Struthio camelus: one gene and its partners. The protein of the gene in region 3 binds, or shares a complex with, the protein of the main gene of each other region. Links are inferred from orthologs where the notes say so. Each region holds a gene or a part of one and is shown on either strand. Other genes may lie near its edges. The genes, in order: POLR3K, CRCP, POLR3D and POLR3F.

Region 1 (5,798 bases), on a different chromosome or scaffold from region 3:
CCTCCTTCACCTTTGCTATGGCCTCTGTTCTATCACCCACCAGACAGACCCAGGCTGCTGTTTGATGACTATTACTTGTAAGAAAGATCCCTGCTTTTAACCTTTACCTAGACTTCTCCGTTAAGTATTTTAAGCAATGCTTTAAATATGTGTTGCATGGTAAGCACAACCCAGGCAGAGCATTCATTTCAGTGAGTGCGTTTATAGCAGAACCACGGTGATTTGGAGCAAGGAGGGCCTCATGGGCCCGTCCTGTCCCAACCCCCCTGCCCACCCCACCACCCACCCACAGAGAACGTCACGTCGGGGCCTCTGAAGGTCCTTTTCCGAGACGCGCGGCACTGGTGGCCCAGGGCCGAACGACAGCTTTTCGACCACCACCACACGACGACCACGCTGTTCCCATCCACGGGCAGCTTTATTGCAGGAGAGCGCGGCCGCCCCGCGCAGGCCTCGGCGCGGCCGGCCTGGTGTTCCCGCCGCGGGGCCGCGGGCGCCGGCCTGGGCCCGGGGCCCGGGGGGGGGCCCGGGGCCGGGGCCGGGGCCGGGGGGGGCCCGGCTCAGTCCCGCCAGCGGTGGCCGCACTGCGCGTTGCAGCACTTGTAGAAGGTGGTCATGGGCTCGTCGGCCGAGCGCGTCTGGATCTGCATGAAGTAGGCGCGGGGGTGCTCGCACTTGGGGCACGGCTCTGCGGGGCCAGGCGGGCGCCAGGTGAGTCCGAGCGGGCCCCTCGCCGCCGCCGCCGCCCTCCCAGCCCCGCGGCCCGGCCCTACCGGCGGTGGAGTCCACGTTCTCCCAGGCCGCCGCGCCGCCCAGCACGTCGTCCACCTCCTTCAGCTGCGGGTACTTCCTGCTCGTCACCTGCGGGCGCGGCCGGTCAGCGGGGCCCCGGCCTCCCGCCCCCCCGCCCCCCCCCGCCGCCCGGCCCGCCCCCCCGCGGCACCTTGCGCGTTACGTTGCGCACGTAGGGGCAGGTGGTGCAGGCGAAGCGGTGGCACCGCGGCCCCTCCTCGGCCACCAGGACGTTGCCGCAGGCCGGGCAGAAGAGCAGCATCGCCGCTTCCGTGGCGCCGCCCGCCCCTTCCGGCGCGGCGATGGCGGCGGCGGAGCCCGAGGAGGAGCTGGCGCACGCCGAGGTGCTGGAGCTCTTCCAGGCGGCGCTGGCGCGGCTGGTGCAGGACCCGCTGCTCTGCGACCTGCCGCCTCAGGTGGGGCCCGCGGCGGCCGGGGCGGGGCCCGGGCGGGGGGGGCGGCGCGGCCCACGGGGCGCGTCGCTCCCGTGTCGCGGCGGTGCCGCCCGCAGGTGACGCCGGAGGAGATCGGCTCGCAGGTGGCGCTCGAGTACGGGCAGGCCATGACCGTGCGCGTCTGCAAGGCGGACGGCGAAACCATGCGTGCGTACCGGGGGGGGGGCCGGGCCGGGGGGCCGGGGGGGGTTGGGGGGGGCCGGGCCGGGGGCGAGGCCGAGGGAGGTTGGGGGGCGGGGTGGGGGTTGGGGGGGTTGGGGGGGCCGGGGGAGGTTGGGGGGGCCGGGCCGGGGGGCCGGGGGAGGTTGGGGGGGGCTGGGCCGGGGCCGGGGCGGGGGGAGGTTGGGGGCCGGGGTGGGGGGGGTTGGGGGGGCCGGGGCGGGGCGGGGGGAGGTTGGGGGCCGGGGTGGGGGGGGTTGGGGGGGTTGGGGGGGCCGGGGGAGGTTGGGGGGGCCGGGGGAGCGGGGTGGGGGGGGCCGGGCCGGGGCCGGGGCGGGGGGAGCGGACAGGCCCCGCTGAGCCGCCCCCGGTCCCCCCCGGCCCCCGCAGCCGTGGTGGTGGTGCAGAACGCCTCGGTGCTGGAGCTGAAGAAGGCGCTGCGGCGGCACGTGCAGCTGCGGCAGGCGCGGCAGGGCGGCGCCCAGCACCTCAGCTGGTGAGCGGGGCGCGGGCCGGAGGACCCCCCCCCCCCAAAACCCCACCTCGGTGGCCTTTCCAAGGCGGGCAGTTCCTCCTGCCGCCCGCCCTGAGCGTTTTCCCTCCCCAGGAAGTACATATGGAGGACATACCACTTAACCTACGCTGGAGAAAAGCTGGCAGACGACAGGAAGAAGCTGAGAGAGTGAGCGGGCGTCTGCGGTTTGCTGGGGAGGGATGGGGACGAGCTGGAGTCAAGCTGTCCGGGTAGCCCGCAAAGCAGCTGCACAGGCAGGGATCAGTCTGGGCTGCTCTGCTCTGGCTCACTTAGGTTCTGCACCACCCCCCCCCCAAAATAAAAAAAAAAAATCACTGCGAGGCAGGGCTGGCATTTCAGGCGATGCAACCGCTCCGCCGCTGACCGACTGGCCGAGAGGCCGCCTGGGCTCGTTCCCCAGCCACAGCTTGTCCTGCGCTGAGAGCATCCCGTTCGCACCACATCTGGCCCCCCCCGTATCACCCTTTGGTGTCCATGCCAAAACTAAGGCAGAATAGGTCATGTTTGCTCAGTTCTCACCTTAGGTACCCTGCAGAGACAACACGAAAAAAGTATGGCTGAGAGGTAAGGCAAGTAGCAGGCGGAGAAGGCAAAGAAAGGCTGGTGTCACGCGCCTGATGCACATTAGTTCAGAGGACCACATCCATTCGTGTCTGGGGAACTGGTGTGTGTGTGTTAATGGAAGCGCACGGAGAGCAGCTACCAAAGGGAGGATGGGGACAGGTCACATCACATCACGTGGGGGAGGGCATCCAAGGTGGTCTGAAGGAGGCAATCAATCAGGTGGAGTGTTTGGAGTCGTGGAATCACAGCATGTGTTGATGTGGAGTGATCTAGTCCAACACCCCTTTTGGGGGTGGTGGTGAGGAGCAGGAGCTGTCTCAAGTAATATAAACAAATTTAGCAAGCAGGAAAAAGCCCTAGAAAGACAGCCGTAGGTAAGGAAAGCTGTCCCTGAAAGATCGATCTGTGGGTGATAGCTGTTACGCTTGGGCTGTGTTGCAGTTTAAAAGGTAGATGATCACATCTTGGAGTCCTGGCAGGATGTTCTACTCACGCAGGTGAGAATTCGACTTTGTCCTGCATTAAAGCACAGCACCTGAAAGTATGAGTCCATCTCCCCAGGGGAAAGAGGAGGCTAATAGGATGTCCGTCAAAGGTGGTGGTTCCTGGGGAATTAGCATGTAACAGCATCACTCTCTGTTCAGGTATGGCATTAGAAACCGCGATGAGGTCAGCTTCATAAAGAAACTTCGAAAGTAACTTGTCAGGTAAGTCCTGAAAAATCCATTAAGAGCTACCAGAGCATCCTCCTTTTCCCAGGGCTAGTGCTAATGCTTGTAGCAGCTGATATTGCTGCTCTCCACTGCTTAGCAGAGCATTCCTAAATGCCCATATCTGCATTAGGCACACAGCCTGGCTCTAGTCCATTTCCACATTTTGGTTTTGTAGCCTGTGCCATGGATGCTAACGCAGTGTCTTTATAGCATTGCTGCTGCTCCTGAAATGGTGTATCTTAGTGCTGACAATGGCTTATCTCTAACCTTGTCTTGCATTTGGATTCTGAATCTGCTCCCACAACATCCTGGGACTCATTAAATGCAGTGCTCCTTTGCCCTTACGACTGCTTCTAGGATGCTGCTTTCTTTTAGGCTTCATCATTTCTGGAGCTCACTGTCAGGAATGCGGCAGGCTGCTAACTAATCCCTAGGAGAAAGAAGGGCTCTCTGTGCCTACAGGTGATTGCCATCACCCAGCTCATTTGATCCTTCTTTGTGTCTCAGACTATCTCCAGACAGAGCAGAGCAACTTTCTCCCGCTCTGCTCCTAGCTCCTTCCTGTACCATGCAGAGCACCTGCAGTTAACAGAAACGTCCATTGGGTGTACATAAGTAAATGCAACAGCAAACATAGCATGTTCTCCACTGTTCCACAGAGGATGTATTTTGAGCCCTTTTCCTGCAAGCTAGAGAAAAGAGAGACGTCAGCTCATGTCCTGTGTTTACGTTCTCAGTTTCTCCATTTTCTAGTTTACAGAGACTTGAATTCAGCTGATTCATTGTCCTGCGAAGCCGGGCATGCTGCTAGAAAACTTTCGTTCATGGTATTTTTGTGCAACTGATGCATTTAAAAATGCTTCCAACACAGGAAACATTATACATGTATATTTATCTCCTTGTAACCCATGTGGACCTCATGATTCCAGTATGAGGCTGCCATTTTTTAAAAAAAAAGTTATGTACACATAAATGCATGGTGTGGCCAAGATTCTCAAGCTTAGTAAGTTTAAACTTGTGTCAGCTTCCCTATTCCCCCCATCTAAAAACACATCTAAAACTCTGAAAAGCAGTGGTATCATCAGCTTTTCCAAATGCCTGTTTGTTCATTTTGTTTTGTAACTCTTAACTGGCTGGGTTAGAAAATGTTATTTTGCCACCACAGTGGCTTTTTTTTTCCCCCCTCTTTCAATGCTGCCATCCTCACGGTATCCACCATAAGAAAACGTGTGCCCTGACAGAGGAGCTCTATCTATCTGCCTCGAGGTGCCTACGACCACTGGTGGGTCACCTGTGGCAGTAGCTGATCCCCATGGACAGCCTAGGCCAGGTATTGCATGCTGGACTCTTGTATTACCACAGTAACTATTGTCCCTGTCACACCTTTTCTTTGTTTAACAGATAAAAGCAGATAATCCAGCTGTACCAAGACCATTCTGTGGATTCAGCACCTTCCTAGAGGAAAAGGTTGTAGCATTTCAAATGGAAACAGACTCAGAGTCGAATGGAAACTCTCAGATGCCACAGCTTCTGCAGTTGCTGTTTGAAACATCTGCCTCGGAGCTGTATGCTGTGTCCCTTTTCAGGGATTAAAGAGACGATGTGGTTTTCTGAAGCCTTTATGGCCCTTATTTCATTTCCACCTGCAAACCCATGTCTGGCTATGGTTGGAGTGCTAGAAAAGGACTTACCTACCCTACAGGGGCAGGAAACAGCATAGAGGAGAAAGTAACAAATGTAGCCACAGACTACGCAGAACAATTAACAGTAGCTAAAACGCTACCTTTCCATTTAATCACCACCTTAGCAGTAGTAAACAACTCTAGTTAAAAATGTAGTATTGAAACTAGTGTAATAAAAATAATGGCAGCAGAAAAGGTTCAATACAATTGAACAAGGCACAAACATTCTGTTTTCAGAGTCTTCTGAGATAAGGCAAAACATGCCTGCCAAGTGCTAAGGAGACAGTTTAAATTAACCACGGGCAGGGTTAGAAGTGTCATTTGGATTAGAGGCTCTGTCCATACGGAACCAACACAGCAAATGCAAAGACAGTCCATCTCCAGTGCCTGCTCGAGAAACAAGTCTTTGCCTTTCAGTGGAGCTGTGCATCCAGGTCGTATTTCTCACAGAATTTGTCTGTGAATGGTATACACGTAAGGAACTCACACCACTCACACTTGATGGGGTAGAAATAGAACAGAATCACAAGTCCTGAGAAGAGTGCAATGAAGATGAGCTGGAAAATTATAATTTGGCATCGCTTCCTATACAAGTCAAACTTCCCAAAGCTAATGTAGGGCAGGAAGGCAAAGGAGAGGAAGAAGCCACTGATAAATCCTGAAATGTGAGCAAAATTATCAATCCAAGGCAGGAGGCCAAAGGCAAAAAGAAAAAGCACCACTGCCAGCAGCTTGAAGAAGGCCCTCCATGGGCGTGCCAGGATTTGCCAACTCTGGAAGAGCTCCACAAAGAGACAGGCCAGAATCCCAAACTGGGATCCTGCAGGGCCAACCTGCAGAAGAAGAGCATTATGAGTAACATCAGCCACATGCCACCTGCCTGGCTTCTGCAGCCAGC
Region 2 (7,551 bases), on a different chromosome or scaffold from region 3:
CAAGGACATTCTCTGTTGGAAACAATACTGCTGCGGAAGAATTAAATATATAGAATCATTCAATTAAACAAGTGAGATGATCATACAGAGTCAACAATTTACCGTGCAAGAATCAGAGTCTCTGGGAAACTGATTTTAAAACTCTGGAAGACAATTGCTTCCTTTATAATCGTGTAACATTTTGTCTCTTAGAAAAATGCCTATTTTTCTGTAACATTGGATTACAAACATGAGCCCACTTAAATCTCAAATCTTCAAGAATTTTTGTTGTGCTGAAATATCAGAATTATAAACTAACAAGTCTAGTGTTTCAAAGACTTTTGTAGCATTTACAAAGCAGAAATATAATTGCTTTCTTCTGTCCTAACTCTCATAAATGCTAAAAAAAACTTTAAAAAAATCAAATTAAGAAAAAATTATAAAGAATGAATTCTAGTAGTGTATATTTTTAAAATAGACAGCTAAACAGTATGCTTGGCTTTTATGAGATTAAGGTTTAAACAAAAAAAAAGATAGGAAAACGCGATGTTAACACTAAATCTGTAAACACTACACAGCTATTACTGCTCCAAATTTTTGTTCAAAACATTACTGAGACTGTCTTCTCCACGCAATATCAAAAAGTAGCTCAGTGCACGGTATCACATCTTCGAAAATACCACCGGCACCTCCTGTTTTAAATCTACTGCTGAAAAATGTTTTACATTTAAACTAAAGCATTTTGCGGAGGTTTTTTTCCCCCCCCCTCTAGTAACAGATACTTCTGAAACGGTAAGGCCTTAGGTAAGGCAGGTTTTCCTAGCTGCAGACTGTCCCTTTATGAAGGGGCTGCCAGGCAAGAGGTACGCGGTAGGGAAGCACAAGATGCGATTGCAACGGCAATTCAAAGTCCAAAACGGACTAGATTGCTCAATTTTGACGCAAGGGTCCACTCACCGGTCAGGACTTTGGGGCCCAGGTGCACCTTCCTCCTGGTACTAAAAGAAGTAGCACCATTAAAATAACTTGGGGTTTTTACTACTCGGGGTAGTAAAAATCAAGCAGGTGCATAAGCGGCACCGCAGACTTAAGAATTAATGGTGCCAAAAGAATCTTCTTCAGCAGGGTAAATCCTATCTTTCCCCACGCATCTTCGAGCCTGGCTGTGCACCCGTTTCACAGCATTTTGGGGGACACAACGGCAAGAACGGGGCATTTCCCTGCAGATTGTTACTCACGTTAAGGCCAATGGGGATACAAACTAATATTTTGATGACTGCTTATTATCTACTTTTGAAGTGTAGCACATTTAATGATAACAAAGCATCCACGGATAGCATGAATTGCAATAGCGCAGGTAACGTTAGCGGTGCTGACATCGGGGCCAGGCCGGCTGCTCTTCCTGCCAGCCACGGCGGGCTGGCCAAAAGCTAGACCTGCCGCGGGCATTTGCGCCCGCCCGCTGTGTTTGCTGCTTCTCCCCGCCAGCACGTTCTGCTCTTCCCATCAAGGGTTTATTTGCCCTTCACAGAAACTGTTCTCAGCCTGCAGGCGATTCTGCAGGCCATTCGCCTTGCCTTGTTTTGCCAGGCTTGCCTGGCGGGTGATTAAAAAAAGAAAGGAAAGGGAGAAGGCTGCATGCAGGCACGTCCCACCAGGCAGGAGGGGAAGGGAAGGAAGGGGGGATGCGGACCCAGAGCAGGATTAAAACTAAGCTGCAATGTCTTTTTCCCAAATAAACGGACGTTTCAGCAATATTTGCAAAGCAAACGGAAAACCTCAGCTTCTCGTCAGAACGCCCAAACGAACGCGAGGCATCGGAGGCAAAGGCCCAACTGAGGGGTACGACGGCCCCTAGCACGGCCCCTGGCCAGGACCAGACGCCACAGTGGCCATGGCGCTCCCCGAACGGGGCGCGCTCCGGGAATTCTTACTGGGTGCAGCGGGTATATTGCCCGGCCCACACCCCCTGCGCCAGGGCCCACGCACGTCTGCCCCCCCAGCCCCCCGCGCCAGGGCCCACGCACGTCTGCCCCGGCCCACACCCCCTGCGCCAGGGCCCACGCACGTCTGCCCCCCCCCAGCCCCCCGCGCCAGGGCCCACGCACGTCTGCCCCCCCAGCCCCCCTGCGCCAGGGCCCACGCACGTCTGCCCCCCCAGCCCCCCGCGCCAGGGCCCACGCACGTCTGCCCCGGCCCACGCCCCCCGCGCCAGGGCCCACGCACGTCTGCCCCCCCCAGCCCCCCTGCGCCAGGGCCCACGCACGTCTGCCCCCCCAGCCCCCTGCGCCAGGGCCCACGCACGTCTGCCCCGGCCCACGCCCCCCGCGCCAGGGCCCACGCACGTCTGCCCCCCCCAGCCCCCCGCGCCAGGGCCCACGCACGTCTGCCCCCCAGCCCCCCGCGCCAGGGCCCACGCACGTCTGCCCCCCCAGCCCCCCGCGCCAGGGCCCACGCACGTCTGCCCCCCCCAGCCCCCTGCGCCAGGGCCCACGCACGTCTGCCCCCCCAGCCCCCTGCGCCAGGGCCCACGCACGTCTGCCCCCCCCAGCCCCCTGCGCCAGGGCCCACGCACGTCTGCCCCCCCAGCCCCCCTGCGCCAGGGCCCACGCACGTCTGCCCCCCCCCAGCCCCCTGCGCCAGGGCCCACGCACGTCTGCCCCCCCAGCCCCCCGCGCCAGGGCCCACGCACGTCTGCCCCCCCAGCCCCATATACATATCCCCCCTATACACACACTACAGGAGGGCCCATACGCATACAACCCTCCCCCCCACACACACTTCAGGCAGCCCCACATATACCACCCCCCCCAAACACGCACACCGCGGGCAGCCCCATACACATACACCCCCCACCCCCCCCCCAGCACAGCCGCGGGTCCCAGCGGCCGTAACCCGCCGCGGGCGGGGAGGATCCCGGCCCCGGCCCGCTCCCGCCCCTCGCGCCCGCCGCCTCCTTACACCTCCATCTTGTCCCCGCGCGCAGCTGCGCGCTGAGGCCGCCCGCGGCCGCCGCCCGCCCGGGCACCTTCCGCTTCCCCCCGCGCGCGCCGCCGCCCGCTGAGCCACGGCGAGGGGAGCGCTGGGGAGGTCGGGGCTGAGCTGAAAGCGGTTTCGGGACTCAGGAAGGAGGAAAAATGGACAAAGAGGGAGAGAGGGAAGGGGGGGAGGAAAAAAAAAAACAAGAAACCAAAAAAGCGCAGTTGCATTGGCCGGGAATCGAACCCGGGCCTCCCGCGTGGCAGGCGAGAATTCTACCACTGAACCACCAATGCCCCCGGTAGAAGCTGTTTTTCCGGCCGCGCCCCTCTACCCGTGCGAGAGCGTTTTTGCACTGATCCTATCTCACTTTCGCAAAATCTTCACGGAGCAGTAAAAGACCTCTCGGGCTTTCACGAAAGTTTAAAACAGATGTGCCTGCTAGTCCCTCTGGATCATATAGAAAATTAGCATATAATACAGAATTACAGGCAACAGATCCTTTATGTTTTTAAAGGAAAGACAAATTGCACTTTTCCAGAACGGTAACTACCGTGGACAGAAAGCTCACTACAAAAATGATACGTGGGGCAAAATATGTTCTGAAAATCTATTTGGATTCTGAAAATTAGGCACTTTAGACATGATAACAATGAAAAAAAATTGTATTTTAGAGGTCCTTCCAAACCAAATTTCTAGCTGCGTGCAAACAGAACACTGTAAGCTGTATAATACTCCCTTTCCTCCAGTCGTCTTTGAAAACACCTGTGCATACATCTTCAGGCTCATTATATGTCTTTTTCCACCATCAGCCTGAGTCTTTCTCTTTTCTTACATATGCTACTACATTTTGCAAGAGCTCTTTTCACTCTTGAGAAAACTGAACACATTTCATTGAGTGCAAATAACTGAAAATCCCAATGGCTGCAGCAGGGATAATTACGTCTGCATCAGAGATTGAGAGCCAGGAATACATTAAATCACTTATTTTGCTATTGGCCCCTCAGGTAGAAGTTTATATACAAACACGACAGCAGTAACTCCCTACAGAATCACACATGCATGCTTGTTAAGAGAAATCTAGGGAGCCAAACCGGTTGGATATTTTGTGCCCACAAGCTCCCTCGCTTGTCCTGTGATACTAGCAGAAAATTCATTCACCCAGTTTTCCCTCCAGAATCAAGCCAGAAGAAGGTCCACCCTCAGTCTGGGACGTTGCTTCTCTCTGCGGTGTTAGAAATCCTCACCTAGCTCTGAAGGATGGGACCAAACTGCAGCGGTTCAAGGGCAGTCTTCAGTGCAAGGACAGCGGGAGACGCACTCGGGTACTTGGGTGTACCACCGCGATCAGGTGTCTAAGAGGTGGGCAAAGTTTAAAACCCTGCTGCAAAGGTTTTTCAGCCCTTTTCAGTTGCAGACCCCTGAAAAAGTGTCAGTGGATATGTGGGCCATGTTCACGTACACAGATTGTAGCACAGACGGAAATTAATTCCTGTTCCAGAATCACCTTTCATCAATCCTTAGGAAAAAGACCAAGGAGAAAGGTCTTCACACTGCAGACTGAAAGCCATTGGTCTGAATTAGTGGATAGGATGTGATGGATGCTGTCCTTTTTCATGTCAGGATTAACTGACCTTGTACTTGGGCCAAAACTGGCACAGCAAATGCTCTGTAACTTCTCTGCCATGCTTCAAACCTTGTCTGTGAAACTGCTTGTACACTTGCTCCCAGCTAGGTCAAAGCGAAGAAAAGAAAAGAAAGAATGTCAGCTTTCTTTCAAGAATATACTTCCAGACTCTTTTTCAGGGTTTTGTTCTAGAAATCCACTAATCCTTGTCTTCCCCTCATCATTCTCTTTAGACACGAGTTGAAAATCTTAAGCATATTAATTTTATTCTCCTTGGCACCTCCTCCTTATCTCTCTCCCCTAAACGCAATTTATCATCTACGTTTTCAGTGTTTCTCCAAAAGTCTCATTCCAGACCTTTGCTGATACACTTTTTTAGAAGCCCTGACGACCATGTCCCATCCCAGCTGCTGGGAAGAATAAGCATAATACACATGCCTCTCAGAATGGCTTTTGAATTTTTTTTCCAATAGAGACATATCCTTCCTAAATATTTTCCAGTGGAGACATACACCCTGTTGGCAATTTCACAAAAATAGACTGGCCAGAGATCCACTGACATCATGCAAGGGAGAAGAGGAATCTCTAAGAGAGAGCTCATTATCCATACCTACAACTTTTCCGGAGAGGTGGGATGATTAGCCGAGTTAACTTTGTTTTTAATGGTTGCAGTTTAGATGTTAGACAGTTATGCTACACCATCCATAGGGAATGCAGACATAGGTTTTCTAAATGTGCTTAGCATGTCAACATTTTAAGCATTGGCTTGTGATTGTAACCGCTAAGGCTTGGTGAGAGAGGGGCCTCGGTATTAACTATTGAAAGCAGGGGGCCTAGTAATTGCTATTGAAAGCAGATCTGCATGGTATTTGTATTCTTTGTCATGAAAGATGTTTACTGTATTCAGCATTTTGCTGATCACCCTATAGTGTCTTTTTTTCTTTTACATTCAAAATTCATTAAACAAAGTTGATTTTTAACAAAAAATGTCAGCACTGCTTCACAGCAGCCTAGCTGACAGTGCATTTGACTAGCACGTTCAGTCTATAGAGCTTTTTTCTTTTTCTAAACCAAAATGACAGTTAAAAAAGAATGTTTTTTAAAGATAGTGTAGAGCAGCAGTTTATGTCCTCTTCTTTCTTTACTGGACTCAGTTTTTACAATTAGTCCTACTATGAATAGTGTATTTCTAGAAATCCCTAAGGCTCTCCTTCAGAGCTAAACTCCACACGTATTAGTCTCTTTCAACAAAAAGGCACTCTAAAAGAAATAGTAAAGATGTGACCTTGATTACAAAAGCAAATACAAATAAAGTTTGAATCTCTGAGGACATTAAAATATATTTAATTAAACCTCTCCATGCTGCAAAAGGGGCAATTTACTCATTATCTCATAGTACATCAGCCTGGAAAAGAGTATAGATGGGAATATTAATGTATGACCAGCGAGGGCTGGCTGCTCCGCAAGGGAAGGTGAGGCAGGAGTAGAGTGCACTAATAAGGCCGGAGCGAGCAGTGACCTCACCACCAAGGAGATGAGATGCAGAACATCACCACCAGGTCAGGATCAGGGCCAGAGACAGCGGTGAGGGTCAGACACAGTCCACGGCTCACCTAGCAAGACTGTCGTGACAAGGCAGGTGCACGGCCAGCCCAGGAAGCCCAGCCAGGGGGTCCGGGTCCAGGTGAGACTCACGGAGGTAGGAGAGCAGGCGCAGACTTAGCTGCTGTGCGGCTGCCGTGTAGCACAGGCGGAGGCCAGCGGTAAAACCTCAGCTTCAGAGCAGTTCCCAAGGGCAAGGAGGGGCAGGCCCTCGCTTAGAGCTTTCTTCACGACAGCTCTTATCAGTAAAGGAGCTGACTTCCACTCAGCCAGCTAAACTCCAACTTAGCCAACTAAAGTCCTAGAAGGAGGATACACTGCAGGCCGTGATACTGTGTCCAGAATGGAAAATAAGTAGAACATACGGTACTTTTTCATCAGAACTTCCTTGGTATTTAACTATGCGTTGGGTTTTTGGGGGCAATTTTTCTATTTCACTAAGCAAATAAAAGCCTGAAAGAATAAGACAGGAAGTGGAAGTGGAAAGACAACAAAAACAGAACAAACAGAGAAGATAGTAATGATGAGAATACATTTCAGTGTGCATTAGAAGACCTATTTTGCAGTGCTGTTTCACTGTTTTCCCAAAAAACAGTTCAGCTCCCTGATGCCAAGCCTCTTTAAGAGATCCTATTTCATCTATAAATGGGAGAAGAGAGAATTAATACATCTCCTAGATACAAACTAGGACAGGAGTTAAAACAACATACTACAAGCAAACTAATCCCTATAAAATGTGTTAAGTACACAGTGAAACTGCTGACAGATGCCATGTGAAAGCATACATCCATTACTATGTATAATATCAGGCATAGATTAATAAAAATAAGATCATCTGGTAACAGCCACAAAAGGCTTCTTTCTTGCAAAACCAGATTTGGAGTCAAGGCATAGATTATGAAAAAGAACACGGCAGAAATCGAACTCAGTTGTCTCCCCTGAAAAATACTCAAGTGCACACGGCTGCAGATTCGTGTCCCAACCCCACCTCACAGCTTCCAGTGGAACAATTGATTTCAATGGCAGCAAGGCCAAACTCTAGGATACATAATCACGAATATTTCATATCAAGTCACTGTGTTACCAATCTCTGCCTGGAGCACCTGGGATCCCTCCCTTTCCCCCTTTTTTAGTTTGGGTAAGTCCTGTTCAATATCTTCAGACAGAAACACACGCAATCCTTACACAGGTTGTGTCCGAACCTTGAGCCTATATCACAAGCATCATGAAGCAAAGATGCTCTCTGTATATGGTCCATTCTGGTTATAAATTCAGTGCTTACTATTTTTGCAACACATCAGCAACCTTCTGTTAAAGCCCAGAATAAGGACAAAGACACTCCTAAATGACTAATGAGACAAGAA
Region 3 (7,652 bases):
GGACCCGTTGCTCCCGCCTCGCTACCGGTGCCGGTGCTCCAGCAGGGCCTCGAAGTCCGGGGAACACACCAGTTTGTGCCTCACGTGGCCCAGCACGATCATCTCGCCCGTGCGGCTGTCTCCGATGCTGACGGACACCAGCTCCTTCGCAGAGGGGACGAAAAAGGGTTAGGGGGATGAAAAGTGAGCTCCTTCCTCCCCTCTCCATCACAGAGGTGCTGTGACTAAGGCCGGGGAGCTCCCTGAAAGCTGTCCTTGAGGAGCAGCACAACCCCGACGGTCTCTGCAGGACCCACCGCCCCAGTCTGAGCATCGGGGACCCCCAAATCACCTTGCGGGCTACCTCGCGGCGTAGCCACACAAAGCAGGCCCCCGGGGTGACATGCAAGCCTGACCCCTTGCCAAGGCCGCCCCAGCTCATACCTGCAGGAAGGAGCAGGGTGTCCCCATGGTCACGTCCAGGGTCACCTTGCCCAGCACCAGCTGCACTTTTCCTGACTTCCGGATGAGCAGTTTCCCCACCTGCCCCTCCGGCAGGTCGGCCAGGGTGCAGGTGTTCTCCGCCTGCCTCGCCTCCTGCTGAGGGAGGTGCCGGCGTCACCGCGCTGCCACCCCGCCTGCCGCGGGACCCCTGCGCCCGCCGGCCCCCACCTGACTCTTCTCCTGCTTCACCACGACCACTTGCCCCTCCTCGTTCTGCAGCTCCGTCTTGATGGGCTTGGTGTCCTGCGTGGGCGGCTGCCCGGGCAGCGTGTCGGGCAGCTGCAGGAAGAGCAGCTCCTCCTCCTGCGACAGGCTCAGCCGCTGCAGCAGCTCCGCCACCGGGATGTCCCGGGGGTAGCCGGGGGGGCCCTTGGCTTGCGCCGCCTTGGTCGCCGGCAGGGCCTCTTTGGGGTCCTCGCCGTCACACGGCTCTTCTTTCACTGGCACCGGGGCAAGAAGGTGGGCACGGGGCAGCAGAGGCAGCCCTGCTGCGGGCAGGACAGCCCGGGCACTCTGCAGCTCCCCCAGCCCGTCCCAGCTCCCAGCTCGAGCAGCACCCCGGGGACACCCCAGCTGCTACCCGCCGGGAGCCCCACGCGCCCGCAAGCACCTTTCACCGCCTGCAAGTCCACCTCCATCTTCTCCTCCTTGGGGCCGGAGAGCCAGGGCTGGGCGTCCTCCTGCTCGGCGGCCTCCTCCTTGAAGAGCCAGCCTGAGTGGGCCAGCGGCAGCTGCACCGGCTTGTTCCGGATGTCGTTCTTCAGGCCGGGGTCGTCGAGGAACTGTGGGGCGAGGAGGTGCCACGTCGGTCAGCGCTGTCCCGGCGGCCCGGGGACCTCCCACCGCGGCGCCCCGGCACCACTCACGTCGTCCTTCTGCAGCATGCGCAGGATCTGCTTCGTTTCCTCGTCCGTCTCCCTCTTCTCCTTCTTGATGTTGATGATGTGGGAAGGGCCAAAGTCCGACATGTCCACGGTCTTGTCCCAGGAGCCAGCTGGGGAGAGGCAGCCCCGGGTGAGGACGTCGCCCCGAGCAGGGGAGAGCTCCGACCCGGTGCGGGACGGCCGTGGGGACCCACCCCCCATCCCCGGCTCTACCTTTCTTCTTCATCATTTCAGCAGGGCCCTGCTCAAAGATGGAGTGGGACTGGATGACCTCCGGTCTGCCCCGGCCTCGGCCGTGCCCGTCGCGCTGCCTGTCCCGCTCCCGCTCCTTCTTCTCCTTCTTGACGGAGACATCCTCGCGGGGCCTGCGGAGAGGTGAGGACGGAGCCCAGCAGCCCCGAGCAGCCATGCGGCCAGCCCCAGCCCTCCCCAACCCCAAACGTGCGCGCCAAACCTGGCCACCACCAAGCCCCCTCCCGATGGGCCTCCAGAGACCCCCCTGACACGGCACACGCTGCCGGGGCCCGGCCACAGGCTGCCGCTCCGGCCCCGTCACAGCCTCCCGGCAGCGGGTTTCTCTCTGGAGGTGCCTTTTGCACGCCGGGACCCCGCAGCGCAGGTCCCCAGCGGCCCATGGTCAAAGCCAGCTGCCTTAACCCAACACCGCCGCACAGGGATCGCTCGCGAGGCCACTCACTCTTCCTTGATCTTCCTGCTAATTATGTTGGGGGTGAAGGTTTTCTGCAGGCAAGAACAGAGGGACAAGTCACTGCACGAGGAGGCAGCAAAGATAAGCAACAGAAACCAAGCAGGCAGCGCTGCAGGACGCGGTCCGGGGCTGGGCGAGCGCAGCGGCAGGCGCGCGGGGGGCTGGCGGGGCTCTCGCCGGGTCCCTGCGCAGGGGGACAGTGGCTGGCCCCCAGCCCCAAACCGCCGCGGGGTCTGGCAGCGACGCCGCCCCGGGGGGGCTGGGCGTGCGCCCGGCGGCGTGCCCGGGAGCGGGAGGCGGGTGCAGAACCAGTCCGGCTGCATTGCCGCCCGCGACAGCGCAGGCGTTGGCATACCTGCCCCGGTGCGTCCCGCGGAGCCGCGCCAGGGACGCCCTCGCCGCGGCTCAGCCCGGTCTCCGCGGGCGGACCGGGGGCCCCCCGCCCCGAAAAGGGGGTCTGCGGCGCCAGGCTGCCTCCTCGCGCCCCGCGGGCCTGGCACACGCGCCACGCGGCTGCAGCACGCGCCCCGGGGCCCTTCAAGCCCCCGCCGTGCAACGGGGCAGGACGCTGCAGGCCCCCCGGGCAGGGACGGGGGTCTGCGCACCCCGGACCGGGGTCACCTCCCAGGGGCTGGGTTTGGAGCAGGCCCTGCGCCCCCCTCCCCAAGGGCTCATTCCCCACTGGGACACTCGCCTTCTTCACACCTCCCAGGGTGAGGTCTCGGGAGCGGATGGAGGGCAGGCGCCCCGGGCTGAGGGGGGCCGGCGGGCGCCTCCCGAGCAGCCCCCGCGCCCCGGGCAGCCCCGGGCGCAGGCTGCCGGGCGCCCCACCGCCCTCGCCGCCCGAGCTGCCCTCCGCCATCCCAGCGGTCACCTGCGAGGGGGAAGGGTTGGGGCAGCCGGCCCGCAGCCTCGGCCCCCCACCTCCGGGGGCTCAGGCACCTGGGTTCCCCCCCTACGCAGCGCTCCAGGGCTCTCTGCACCCATGCACCCTCTCCAGGGTGCTCAGCACCCCATCATCTCCCCTCCTGGGGTCCATTCACATCCCTCCAACAGGGGCGCTCACCCCCCCTCACATCCCCCAGCCCAGGGTGCTCACCCCCCCGTGCACCCCTTACCGCAGGGTGCTCACCCCCCCCCCGTGCATCCCCCAGCCATGCCCATCCACCCCCCCCACCCCACGGTGCTTCCACACATGCACCCCCAGCCCTGCCCCCTCGCACCCCGCTACCTCACGGTGCTCACCCCCTACCCCGTCTGCTCACCCCCCCATGCACCTCTTACCGCAGGGTGCTCACCCCCCCATGCACCCCTCACCCCAGGGTGCTCAACCCCTGCCAAGAACCCCTTTCCCCAGGGTGCTCACGCCCCTCTGCACCCCCCACGCCCGGGGGCTCACTCCTCCCACGCCCACGGGTACCCCCCCGCCGTGCCCTCCCCGCCGCGCCGCCCCGGCCCCTTACCCACCCCGGGCACGGCCGGCGCGCGGCCCCCACTGCGCATGCGTGCCGCGCGGCCCGGGGTTCCCGGAAGGAGGCCGCTGCCGCCATGTTTGCTGCGGGCCCGCCGAAGCAGTGTCTGGGCGGGGCCGCCATCTTTGAGTAGGGCAGTGCCTGCCCCCCCCCCCCCACGCGGAAGACGGCGGCGCCATCTTTGTGCCGGGCAGCGCCCGGCCCGTGGGATGGGGAGCACAGGGGCAGTGCGGGGGCAGCCCCTCTCCCAGTGCTCCCAATGCCCCCCCCCAACCACAGCAGCAGAGCCCCCGGCGTCCTGCCATCCCCGCACCAGCTGTGAGCCCGTGCCCAGAGCAGGGACCTGACCCGTTTCCCAGTTGTGTGTTGGGGGGGGTGTCTGAGTGTGCATGCACACATGTGTGTATGTGCATGCATGCACACACGCGTGTGTGCACGCACATGCATGTGTGTGCATGCGCACACGTGTGTGCACATGCACACACATGCACGTGCACGTGCATGCACACACATGTATGTGCACGTGCATGCACACGCGTGCACACACATGAGCGGTGGGGTCGGGTGGGAGGCAGCAGGCTCTGCCGCCCACCTCCCTGCAGGCCCAGGGGCCAGGCCTGCCTCCCCCAGGGTGCTGGGCACCCAGCGCGTCCCTTCTCCCCGCCCCGCGCGCACCCGCAGCCGCCCCCGCGGCCTCGCCTCCCGCTCCCACGGCTGTCCCCGCTCCGCTGGCAGGCAGGCGACGTGTTTGCTCATCACCTGATGCTTTGCAGCCTGACACCCGATTGGCAGAGCAGGGTTTTTCCCCCCTCTCCTCCATGCTGCTTTGATTTTTTTTTTTTTCCTCCTCTTTAGGGTGTTTGCTATTTCGGAGCTGGCTGGGAGGATCTGAGCAGCAGCAGTTGCAGCAGCAGCCGGAGGCAGGAGGACGAGCATCCGTCGGGAACTGCACGAGCCGCCGCGGTCTGTCGCAGCCTGAACCGCCGCTGCGGCCAAGTTCAGTGCCGGCGGCGCAGCCTGCCGTGCCGTGCCGTGCCGTGCCGTGCCGTGCCAGCTCCCTTCGCCGCCCCGCAGCCCTCCTGCGCAGCAGGTAAGGCCGCTCGCAGGTCAGGCGGCGCCGGGAGCCGGGCGAACGCAGCGCCCTGCAGCATGCACCGGGCTTCCCCTCCTGCACCTGCCTCTCGCTCCGTCTCGGCCCTGGGGCGAGCGGCTCCGGCGCAGCGCTCCGTCCGCGGACACGGGCGCTCGGTGATGCGAGGGAGCGCGGCGCACGGGAAACGCGACCTGGCTCCCAAACCGGTGCAGGCAAAGCGAGGGACGAGGGGGCGACGAGCCCTGGCAAGCTGGGCAGGGCGGCTGCGCTCGGCCGTCCCCGAGGGAATGACCTTCCCCTGTCCGCGGGGGGAAGAGCTGGGGGCCGGCGTGGGGGAGCGCACGGGGTCTGCGGCGACCGGGCTCTGCAAGGACGTGGGAGCGGGCGCGCGCACAGCCCGGTGCGCGAGCCGGGAGGCGCCCGTCGCGTCTTGCGTGTGCCCGCGCCAGCCGCGCTGCTCGGTGCCGGGAGCACCCGTGGGCTGGCGTGGGCGCCCGCCGGAGCGCCTGCCCCCGCGCGTCGGCGTGGGCGCCCCAAGCGCGGTGCGCGTGCAGGCGGACGCGGGGCGGCGGGGCCGGAGGGAGGGAGCGGGGGCTGCGGGCATGCACCCGGAGCGCGTGGGCGGCCGCGCGCACGCGTGTGCATGCGTGAGCACCCCCACCACCCTGCACCGTGGGCAGCGGGAGGGGGCCCGAGGCGGGGGGCGGCGGGCGCGTTGGCAGCCTCACGCGGAGCAGCCCCGAGGTCCCACGCTCCCTGGGGAGCCCCCGGGTTGCCCTGGCACGGATGGGGGGCCAGCACCCCTCTCTGCGGGGCTCACGCAAGCCCTGGGCCGCACGGCCGGGGGGGGGCAGAGCCGGGGGGCTGCCCTGCTGCATGCGTCCCCTGCTCCGTCCTCCCGGGCGCTGCCGAGGTGCCCCGAGGGCCGGCCCGAGCCTCCTGCGTGCTGGCTGCTGGAGGGCACCTCTCTGCCCGTGCACGCGCCCGTGCCCGGTGCACCCGTGCGCGCCTTCGCAGGGCTGCTTCTCCCGCCCCAGGCGTAGCCGGGTGCCAAACCCCGCTGCAAGAGGGGCAGCGCGGCTGTGACGCGTCCCCCGGGGGGGTTTCGGTCCCTGCCCGTGCGCCCGGGGCCGAGCGGTGCAGGGCGCTGCCCGGGGTGCGCGGCGCCTCCCCCCGCGCCGCCCGCCCCTGCGCGCGCGGGGGAGCTGCAGGCAAGTCATGACTAAGTTAGCGCGAGCCTGCGACGCGCTCCTCAGGCGTCTCGCCTGCGTCGGAGCTAAATATGGCTCGGAGCAGCCTGCGGAGCAGCGCCGGGCACCCGCTGCGGCCGCCCCGGAGATCGGAGCGAATCGGGGCGTGCAAAAACGCCGAGACCCCCCAGCCGGTGCATCGCCGGGGCCTGGGGACCGCGCGTCCCCCAGCGCGCCCGGCCCGCGGCAGAAGCGCTTACGCACTCGGCGCAGGTCGGGGCCTGTGCCGGCCCCGCCGGCTCGGCGGCTTCCCGGGGAGGTTCGGGGCGTGGGGACCGGCCCGCTGCCCCGGCCCGGAGCGGAGGCGCCGCCTCGGGCTCCCGGCGTCGTGTCCTGCCCCGGCTCCCTCGGCCCTCCCGGGGCGACGGGACCCGAGGGATGCGGGAGCGCCGAGGTTTTCCCGCGCCGGAGCGGGTAAACCCTGCCGCGCTGCTCGGCCAGACCTCGGCAGCGCGGGAAAGACGCGGGCCGCGCCGGCGGCAGCTCTCAATAAAAGCACGTGCTCGGCGAAACGCAAAGGCGCCGTCGCAGCGGGCGCGGGGAGAGAGGACGCGGACACGGAGCGAGCGGGCGGGAGGCAGGCGGGGAGGGGAGCCGGCCCGAGCGAACGGGCAGAGCGCGGCGCCCGTCCAGCCGCTGCCAGCCGTTCGCACGCGATCCTGCCCGCGCCCGGCCCTCCTCTTGTTTTTTCTTTCCCCACCCGGTGTTGAGCAAAGCCGGGGCGGCGAGAACCGCCGGCCGGGGCTCTCGCGGCGTGCCGGGCAGCGCCGGCTCCGGCCGCAGCCGCTTTGCAGCACGCCGCGCCAGAGGGCTCGTTCCCGGCCGGCTCGGGGCTCTGCCGCTCGTTCCTGGCTCCCGGCCCCTTCCCTCCCTAGCGCCATCTGCTCGGCAGCGGGGCCCGAGCGAGGGCTGGCGCTGGCCGCGCCGCCCGCGAGGTGCCGGCTGCGCCGCGGGGGCGCCCGCCCGCCCGCCCGCCCGGCAGCTGCTCCCCGCGCCCGCAGGAGCCCCCCCCGCGCCTCCGGCCATGGACCTGCTCTCCACCCCCAAAAACATCGAGATCAACAACATCACCTGCGACTCCTTCCGCATCTCCTGGGCCATGGACAAGGGCGACCTGGAGAGGGTCACCCACTACTTCATCGACCTCAACAAGAAGGAGAACAAGAACTCCAACAAGTTCAAGCACCGGGTGAGCCGGGGGCCCCGCACGCCGGGGACCGAGCGGTCCCCGCCCCGATGCACAGCACGGGCAGGTTTGGGGATAGCGGCAGGAGGCCGGGGTACGTCCCGCCGGTGCCGGGCCAGAGCGGGGCGCGCAGCCCGCGAGCGCGGTGCAGCCCTCCGGGGTCCCCCGCGGCGGGGGCGGCCCGGCCCCTCCGAGCCGGCACGGGGGAGACGGTGCGAACCGCTCGCGCTTCTCTCCCTCCGCAAGAGAGTCACCAATTCGGGACTCTTTTAGCAGCACGGTTGCCACGGTGATGCTATTTAATGTTTAACATTATTTTTTTTTTCCTCCCCAATAATCATCGTTTCTTTTTCTCTCCCTGCCTGTATCTCCCGACTTCGGCATTCGCTGTTGCCACAGAAACGGCTCTGCACTGCGGAGCTGCTGGGTGGCCTCTTGACACGGCCATTTGCTCCGTCCAGCGGCGGTCCCCAGGACCCCAGGGAGCGGGGTGGGGGGCTCGGGGCAGCCCGTGGCCCCAGGCTGGGCAGCGGCTCTGGGGCGGAGGCGCCTGGGTGGGCGCCTGGGCATCGCTC
Region 4 (7,720 bases), on a different chromosome or scaffold from region 3:
AGCAATGCAGGAAGACCACAGAACCACCGTTTGCAGACTGTACTTCAACTGGATTTCACTTGAGCATACGCCTTTGTTTGCAAAGATCACATTGCCAGATCAGGAACTCTGCTAGCAAGTGAGAGCTCTAGCTCCATAGTAACCTCTGTTCAGTAGAAAGCATTATACCTAAAACAGTTTTCAGGATCAGCTCAGGGCAATTAAGTATACCCTTCTGGAATGAGCAATTACATTCTGTAACAGCCATCATCCCAGTGAAGACTTCTCAGAGCGTCTTCTCAGCAGTGCGGCACGTGAAGTACAGAATTGTGCGCCAAACATTTATCCAACAAATATGAGGCTTACCTTGCATTTTGAGACTCTTTGATCCTATATAGGAGACCGGCATTGCTCCTGAGCAGGTCCAGTTGTCCCTAGGAGAGACAGGCACACATTATTTTCCTTCAAATATCTTGTTTCAGAATATGGCAAGAATCTTCTAAACCATTTCTAAAGTATAAAGCCTTATTTAATGTCAACTGCGTGAAGAAAGGGAAAACTAACATTTCCAACCACTAGAAACAATACACTCCGGGGTGTTTTTTCCTGCAACTATCCATTTATCCTCAGCTATTAGAAATAATAAATACAGTTCCAGCCTCTTCCCACCTCTATGCGCTTGCTAGCTTTCGCCACTGCACAAAGGACATCAAGCTCTCGTATGCCTTTTTCTTGCTTTCCACCGAAACGCTCATTTCTATGGCAATCCAGAAATCAAGTTAGAGCTCTAATGAACAATAGATTTGAAAAATTCTGATTTCCAGTAACAAAGTTCTTTCTTTAGTTAAAAAAAAAAAAAAAACCACCAATGGGAAACTGCCAGTCAGGACTGCCAATAACTCTCAGAGACAAATTACTGGCATCTCTCACACACAAGGTGTATCCTATCCTGGACTTCTGACTGAGCCAAGTAATTTCTTACTTCCTGTTTTGAAGAAAGAGGCAAGCAATTAGACAAGCCCAAGAACATAAATGCATATAATAGCATTAGCTTAATATTCACTCCTTCATTGCTAGCTAATCCATTCCTCATAGGTAACAGCCTTATTTCTTATAGATTTGCATTATGTGGTTGATTGGAGCTCACACCTCAACATGATCCCACTCGATGCTTTTCCATAGGTAAAGCGCTTATGTCTTATCTCATGTGAAGTCCCTGATGCTTATGAAGGCTTAGCACTCACTGCTGTTCTTCCCATGCTTAAGGTACTTACTGGATCTCTCCCCACACTCCCAAGGTGTCTATTTTAAATAAGTTCTAGAGACTTAACTATCATTGAAACCTCCCTGTGAAACATGGCCAACCCATTAAAAAGTGGTTGAATACAAGCTCTTATCTACTGTGCTTATAAACCTCGTATCTATAAGCAGAAAGATGAAAGAGAGAGAGATTAGTTCCAGCACCATGCACTTTTTCTTCCAGTTAAAGAAGTTTTGCTTATGAAAAGAAACAAAACAGAACAAAAAAACCCAACCCCACACCAAACAAACAAACCCAAAAAGAAACTTGCTCAGTTCGGATACTTTCTACCACCCCTCTTTCCCAGGGTACAAGCGCCCCTCCTTTCGCTGACACACGCCACCGCAATAGCATCAGATACTGCTTTTCTTTCGCTACAGTGCTTTCCATTGCACCACCCAGTCTCCATGTGCGTATGAAACAGCTATCAAAGGAACTGAACGGAATCCTGATCTTTAAGACCTTGAACACTTAGCTGATATTCAAGTTTATGCCACGTAGAACCAAGACTCAACAGCTTCTATCTATTCCTGAACATGTGGCAGAAGTAGTTGGCTGTGATCCTCACTCTTATCTTAAGCTGGGTCCTGATAAAATAAAGGGAAATGCATAGTGAGATGTAGGAAACTTCTAGGAGTTACAAAAACTCCTTGAGGTGTTTCACCTGCTTATTTGTCATCAGAGTAATCCACAATCCTGCAATTTTGTGAGGGGCTTGGTGAAGGGCTTCACATATAACAGCACAGGCCAATATCCATTCTTTCCTTTCTAGCTAATTCTTTCCCCACCATTAACAGGGCTTTGTCATTATCACCCATGTCTGCTTGTCTTATCACCTGCTGAGCCACTGCTGCTACACCTGCACTCAGGACTCTCATATTACACTACTGTATCACATTCTGCTTTGCATACAAACTGATACACAGGGGAAAGACCACAGAACTCTAGACACATCTACTCTTGAGAAAAATATTAAAAACAAATGCGGAACTTCTCAGTGGTAGCCTCTTAAACCTAGAAATCCATGTGAATATGCACATCCATGTTAATCTTGTATTACAGAGTGGAAACTATTAAGTTTTGAGGCATGTTTTAATTGGTTATGGCAACCTTTGAGCACATCACTAAATCCAAAGAAAACTTGCTAGCCCTGCCCGACGGGTTTCTACCATGCAGCCTATGTGTATGCAGAGCGCACTGGAAGCCAAGATGGCCCTACCATTGAGAGCAGCCTGTTGATTGCCATGGCTCGCTGCTGGGCTTCCATGTGAGGCATGTCATTTTGGATCACCTGGTCTGTGATGCCGTGGGGGAACTGATGGCACAGTTCAATGATCCTGGGGGAGGAGAAAGGCAAATTTTCAACCAGGCCCCGCTGCAGCGGCAACCAAAGGCGCAAAGTTACTGCAACCACGACGGAAGAGAAGGGAAAAGAACAGAGTTTTCCCGAGGACTGGGAAAGGCAACGGGGGGGGGAGGGGGGGGGAGCTGAGGCAACCTGACGCCATCCCTCGTTGTGCCCCTGCGCCAGCACGACACGCGCGGTGTCCCCAGGCAAGGACCAGCCCCCTGGGCCTCGGGCGCCGCCGCCGCCCCACCCACCCGCGACGCGACGCTCCCCGCCGGCGGGCCGGGCCCAGGGCGCACCTATTCTCTATGTCCACCGGGTCGGGGACCTCCGGCTTCACCTTCACCTCCGCCATGGCGGCACCGCCGGGTCGCGGCGCGCGGCGATGACGCCGGAGCGGCGCGCCGCAGTGAGGCGCCGGTCGCCAGGCAACGGGACGCGGGCCAATCGGCGGCGGCGGGGGTAGGGGAGAGGGCGAGGGGCGCGGCCGGGCTCGCGGCGTCTGTGGTAACGGGCGCGAGGAGGGACGAGGGGGTCGAGCGGGTGCGCGGGGCGGTATAGCGGGGATCGAGGGGGAGGGCAGGGCGGTATAGAGGGGATCGAGGGGGAGGGCGGTGTAGCGGGGATCGAGGGGGTGCGCGGGGCGGTATAGCGGGGATCGAGGGGGAGGGCGGTATAGCGGGGATCGAGGGGGAGGGCGGTATAGCGGGGATCGAGCGGGTGCGCGGGGCGGTATAGCGGGGATCGAGGGGGAGGGCGGTATAGCGGGGATCGAGGGGGGAGGGCGGTATAGCGGGGATCGAGCGGGTGCGCGGGGCGGTATAGCGGGGATCGAGGGGGAGGGCGGTATAGCGGGGATCGAGGGGGGAGGGCGGTATAGCGGGGATCGAGCGGGTGCGCGGGGCGGTATAGCGGGGATCGAGCGGGGAGAGCGGTATAGTGGGGATCGAGGGGGAGGGCGGTATAGTGGGGATCGAGGGGGAGGGCAGGGCGGTACAGAGGGGATCGAGGGGGAGGGCAGGGTAGTATAGCGGGGATCGAGTGGGGAGGGCAGGGCAGTATAGAGGGGATCGAGGGGGAGGGCAGGGCGGTATAGAGGGGATCGAGGGGGAGGGCGGTATAGCGGGGATCGAGCGGGGAGGGCGGTATAGCGGGGATCGAGGGGGAGGGCGGTATAGCGGGGATCGAGGGGGAGGGCAGGGCGGTATAGCGGGGATCGAGGGGGAGGGCGGTATAGCGGGGATCGAGGGGGAGGGCAGGGCGGTACAGAGGGGATCGAGGGGGAGGGCAGGGTAGTATAGAGGGGACCGAGTGGGGAGGGCAGGGCGGTATAGAGGGGATCTGCTGGGAGGGCGGTATAGCGGGGATCGAGTGGGGAGGGCAGGGCGGTATAGAGGGGATCTGCTGGGAGGGCGGTATAGAGGGGATCAAGTAGGGAGGGCAGGGCGGTATAGCAGGGATCGAGTGGGAGGGCAGGGCGGTACAGAGGGGATCGAGGGGGTGCGCGGGGCGGTATAGAGGGGATCGAGTGGGGAGGGCAGGGCGGTATAGCAGGGATCGAGCGGGTACATGGGGCGGTACAGAGGGGATCGAGCGGGGAGGGCAGGGCAGTATAGAGGAGATCGGCTGGGAGGGCAGGGCAGTATAGAGGGGATCGAGTGGGGAGGGCAGGGCGGTATAGAGGGGATCTGCTGGGAGGGCGGTATAGAGGGGATCGAGTAGGGAGGGAAGGGCGGTATAGAGGGGATCGAGTAGGGAGGGAAGGGCGGTATAGCGGGGTTCGAGTGGGAGGGCAGGGCGGTACAGAGGGGATCGAGTGGGGAGGGCAGGGCGGTATAGAGGGGATCGAGTGGGGAGGGCAGGGCGGTATAGCAGGGATCGAGCGGGTACGCGGGGCGGTACAGAGGGGATCGAGCGGGAGGGCAGGGCGGTATAGTGGGGATCTGCTGGGAGTGCAGTGACTATAGGCTATACAGGGGGAATGAAGGGGAGGTGGGGAGGCTGTATAGCAGGGATGGAGGGGGAGGGCAGGGCTGTGGGATGCAATGGAGCTGGGTGGGCAGGGGCTGCCGAGCACGGACCGAGTGGGGTGGGCAGGGCTGCGTAGTGGGGATCCAGTGGGGTGGGCAGGGCTGCGTAGTGAAAGGAGGGAACGCGGGGCCCGGCACACGGCGGGGTGCAGCAAGGGGCTGTGCTGTGCTGGAGCGGGGTCCGGAGCCCCGTCACGGTGCGATGCCCATGGGAACTCACTCTTTATCCCACCCATCGTGGGCTGCCACAGGCTTGAAACAGGGCGCTTTGCTTCTGGTCTAGGTGTGGCAAGAGCAGTCAGGTACTCGGAGAAAATTAGTGTCTGCCCCCTCGTGTCAGGTAAAGAGCGGATCCATGCATCATCCTTTCACCTGTGCCACAGCATGCGGCCCAACGGCTTGGCTGAGAACTGCCCACACTCATTACACCAGCCGTTACAGGCAGTGCAGCCGAGGTGATGGGCAGCTGCAGATAGCACTTTGGCTTATCTCAGTGTAGCCCCTGTGAGCCCATAGATCCGTGAACTCCTTCTGTACTCAGTCATTACTATCTACGTTGATGAGTTAGTGTTAGAGACGTTGCGGGAGGACTGAACGGCCAGTTACAAAACGAAATGCTTCCAGTGTAGACATGTTTTCTGGCAGTGAATATCAATTCCCATGACCTGCAGTACATCCTTTTTGTATTCTAAAACGCTGTCGTATCCAAACGTAACTTTTCATTCTTGAATTCAGTGACATAAAGGCTATGATAAATCATGTATGGCACCTGCTTGATAGGTATATGCTTAAAGTATACCACAGGTGAGGCAAGCTTGAGGAATAGCTGTCTTGTTTTAGTCCTTTTCGGGACATCTTGCATCTCACTGACATACATTTGGATGGCCACAATGAAACAAGGGACTGGTTCCTCCTGTAGAGAAAATGACACCATATCTCAGTGATGAGGGTGAAGATGCTTCACAGTTATTCTCTCCTGGCATGGTATAAGATATATGATGCTAAAGCTGTTTCACCTGAGTAAGTGGCCCTCAAATTCAAGCAGAGAAGGCCAAACTGAAATAAAAGCAACAGTGCTCATCTCAAGCCCTATTCATAGCCCTGTAATAGGACAATAGGTCGAAAGTTTGATGGGTCTATAGCATCTTATTCTTTTTCAGTGTGAAAACCTTAGAAATATTGATGAGAACTAGTATTTCAAGGAATTCAGTGTTCTTTCTTTCAAGGAAACAAACCAGGATGAGGAATCTCTTTAAAATGCAACATTTCTCACTGCATTCTTGTGTTATGAAAAATAATTGTCTGCTTTTTTGTTTTTCGTTCTTTTTTAAAGATCCTTGCTGAGAAAAATGACAGCGGGTTCTGTCTTAGTTCCTCAGGTCATACCTCTTCGAATCCCTCTTCCAGGGAAGGCTAAACATGAAATAGACACAAATACTCTTGTAGAAATAAAGTCAGGTATAAATAACACTTTTGACTCTGTGTAAAACTTTTCCTTATGTGATCATTTGAAACTCTTAGCCTCTATATTTTTGTTTACATTTAATTATGATTTTTGTGAGTTTCCACTTCCTTAAGTAACTCACAAAATTAACCTAGATGTTTTGAAACTGCAAATATATACACTTAACTTTTAGCATTCAAGCAATATTATTGTCATAATATATGAGTTCATACCTGTTCGCAGTTTTAATTGCTTCCGAGATCAAGCTCTTAAGTTGTTGTATTTTGCTGTGACTGCAAAACCAGGACTTGAAAATATGATGTGCCTGGCTCACTCAGAAAGTGTTCCTTACGGTTTTTGAAATTCCATCTTTCATCATGGGAGAAATTATTTTTTCTGTCTTTAGAACAGACAAGTTGTTGCATTGTTTTCATACAAAACCAGTGTATGACTACTTTATGAAAAGAAATATTGCTTGTAATGACATTTTGTTTGTTTAGTCACCAGCATTTCATGGGAGAAATAGTTTTGGTCCTGAACTTTCAATCATTTACTCCTTGATTTTGTTTATGTGAGAAAAATCAAACATAGGAGTGAGTATTTCCAGGTGTAGAGCTTATTTTGCCCAGCTCTAATATAATTTGGATAATAACTTTCTCCGTGTCTTTCAGATACACCTGCAGTCACTATTTATTACACTTTAGACGGAAGTAAGCCAGAACTCATTAGGAAACCCAGCTATGGAGAGCATAATACTTTTGAGTATAAGCAACCTATCATGTTACCAGTTGGGAAAATAATGGTCAAGGCATTGGCAGTTACAAAGTAGGTATCTTGTTTTATTTTAGTAGTACTGGGGCAAGGACTGGACATCCCAGTCATGGCGTGGAGCTGTGTTTTTCTAAGCATTCTGTACCTGGGGAATGAGGGGCAGCTCTTGCCCCAGCCGGTTTTCAGTCTAAGTGATCTTCCTGGATTCCTTTCACTGTGTTCACTTTCTCATAGCACTTTTTAATCATTAAGTGTTTGTGGAGCTGGATTATCTCTACAATGTTTTCTCCTGGGCCTTGGCTGAAGGCCAATGATCCATGAAGGCTGTGGGTGAGGGGCTGGTAAAATACACTGTACTTAGAGTTCTTCCATGTGAGTATGATCATCAGAAATGCTAGAGGAGCTGGTATGATGCTTTCTGAGGCCAGGAAACATCCAGTGATTCAACAGATTTATAGAAGTGGTCTTCTGAGAAACGTGCTCAGCTTCTCCTAAAGGAGCGCAGAATACTAGGCCTCACAGCGTAAGTACAATGTAGCACACACAAAAGCAAAGTAAAAATATAACATGTAGAAAGAGAACTTGATCATTGACTTTCTTCCAGCTAACTTCACACTTAGACACAGGCCATGGGGACACATGCATTCTCTGACTGTACCCTGTTGTATTTTTATGTTCTATTTACAAGGGAGCATAAAATTCCGCTCCAGCTGGGGATCTGGGCTTACTGCTCCCGCACTATTAGCACCTGCAGGTAGCCTTTGCTTATGTCTGCATTGCAATGAAACAACATTATAGTCCTTGTGCGGAGACACGGAAAAAAGGCCTCTATGTATTTTCTGCTATCG

The links.
Region 1: POLR3D (region 3) and POLR3K share a complex: the UniProt entries of both Homo sapiens proteins name them as parts of the RNA polymerase III complex. The link is inferred for Struthio camelus from reciprocal best matches to the Homo sapiens genes POLR3D and POLR3K.
Region 2: POLR3D (region 3) and CRCP share a complex: the UniProt entries of both Homo sapiens proteins name them as parts of the RNA polymerase III complex. The link is inferred for Struthio camelus from reciprocal best matches to the Homo sapiens genes POLR3D and CRCP.
Region 4: POLR3D (region 3) and POLR3F share a complex: the UniProt entries of both Homo sapiens proteins name them as parts of the RNA polymerase III complex. The link is inferred for Struthio camelus from reciprocal best matches to the Homo sapiens genes POLR3D and POLR3F.

What each region holds. Positions count from the first base shown.
Region 1 is NC_090956.1:19,330,897-19,336,694, reverse strand, and holds POLR3K (DNA-directed RNA polymerase III subunit RPC10), read right to left. Parts: upstream 1,076-5,798; 5' UTR 1,055-1,075; coding exon 944-1,054; intron 862-943; coding exon 774-861; intron 689-773; coding exon 561-688; 3' UTR 509-560; downstream 1-508. Other genes in the region: SNRNP25 (U11/U12 small nuclear ribonucleoprotein 25 kDa protein), read left to right, coding at 1,095-1,208, 1,304-1,394, 1,797-1,902, 2,014-2,088, 3,150-3,204; RHBDF1 (inactive rhomboid protein 1), read right to left, coding at 5,314-5,733. UniProt on the Homo sapiens protein: Core component of RNA polymerase III (Pol III) which synthesizes small non-coding RNAs using the four ribonucleoside triphosphates as substrates. Can mediate Pol I proofreading of the nascent RNA transcript.
Region 2 is NC_090957.1:15,565,571-15,573,121, reverse strand, and holds the start of CRCP (DNA-directed RNA polymerase III subunit RPC9), read right to left. Parts: upstream 3,018-7,551; 5' UTR 2,949-3,017; coding exon of another isoform or gene 2,941-2,948; intron 1,077-2,940; exon of another isoform or gene 937-1,076; intron 31-936; exon of another isoform or gene 1-30. UniProt on the Homo sapiens protein: DNA-dependent RNA polymerase catalyzes the transcription of DNA into RNA using the four ribonucleoside triphosphates as substrates.
Region 3 is NC_090968.1:5,467,411-5,475,062, forward strand, and holds the start of POLR3D (DNA-directed RNA polymerase III subunit RPC4), read right to left. Parts: upstream 3,018-7,652; 5' UTR 2,939-3,017; coding exon 2,771-2,938; intron 2,109-2,770; coding exon 2,065-2,108; intron 1,733-2,064; coding exon 1,581-1,732; intron 1,478-1,580; coding exon 1,350-1,477; intron 1,266-1,349; coding exon 1,094-1,265; intron 924-1,093; coding exon 652-923; intron 580-651; coding exon 424-579; intron 145-423; coding exon 22-144; 3' UTR 1-21. Other genes in the region: PHYHIP (phytanoyl-CoA hydroxylase-interacting protein), read left to right, coding at 6,916-7,080. UniProt on the Homo sapiens protein: DNA-dependent RNA polymerase catalyzes the transcription of DNA into RNA using the four ribonucleoside triphosphates as substrates.
Region 4 is NC_090944.1:146,895,352-146,903,071, forward strand, and holds the start of POLR3F (DNA-directed RNA polymerase III subunit RPC6), read right to left. Parts: upstream 3,030-7,720; 5' UTR 2,983-3,029; coding exon 2,927-2,982; intron 2,617-2,926; coding exon 2,499-2,616; intron 414-2,498; coding exon 346-413; intron 1-345. Other genes in the region: DZANK1 (double zinc ribbon and ankyrin repeat-containing protein 1), read left to right, coding at 6,007-6,115, 6,773-6,926. UniProt on the Homo sapiens protein: DNA-dependent RNA polymerase catalyzes the transcription of DNA into RNA using the four ribonucleoside triphosphates as substrates.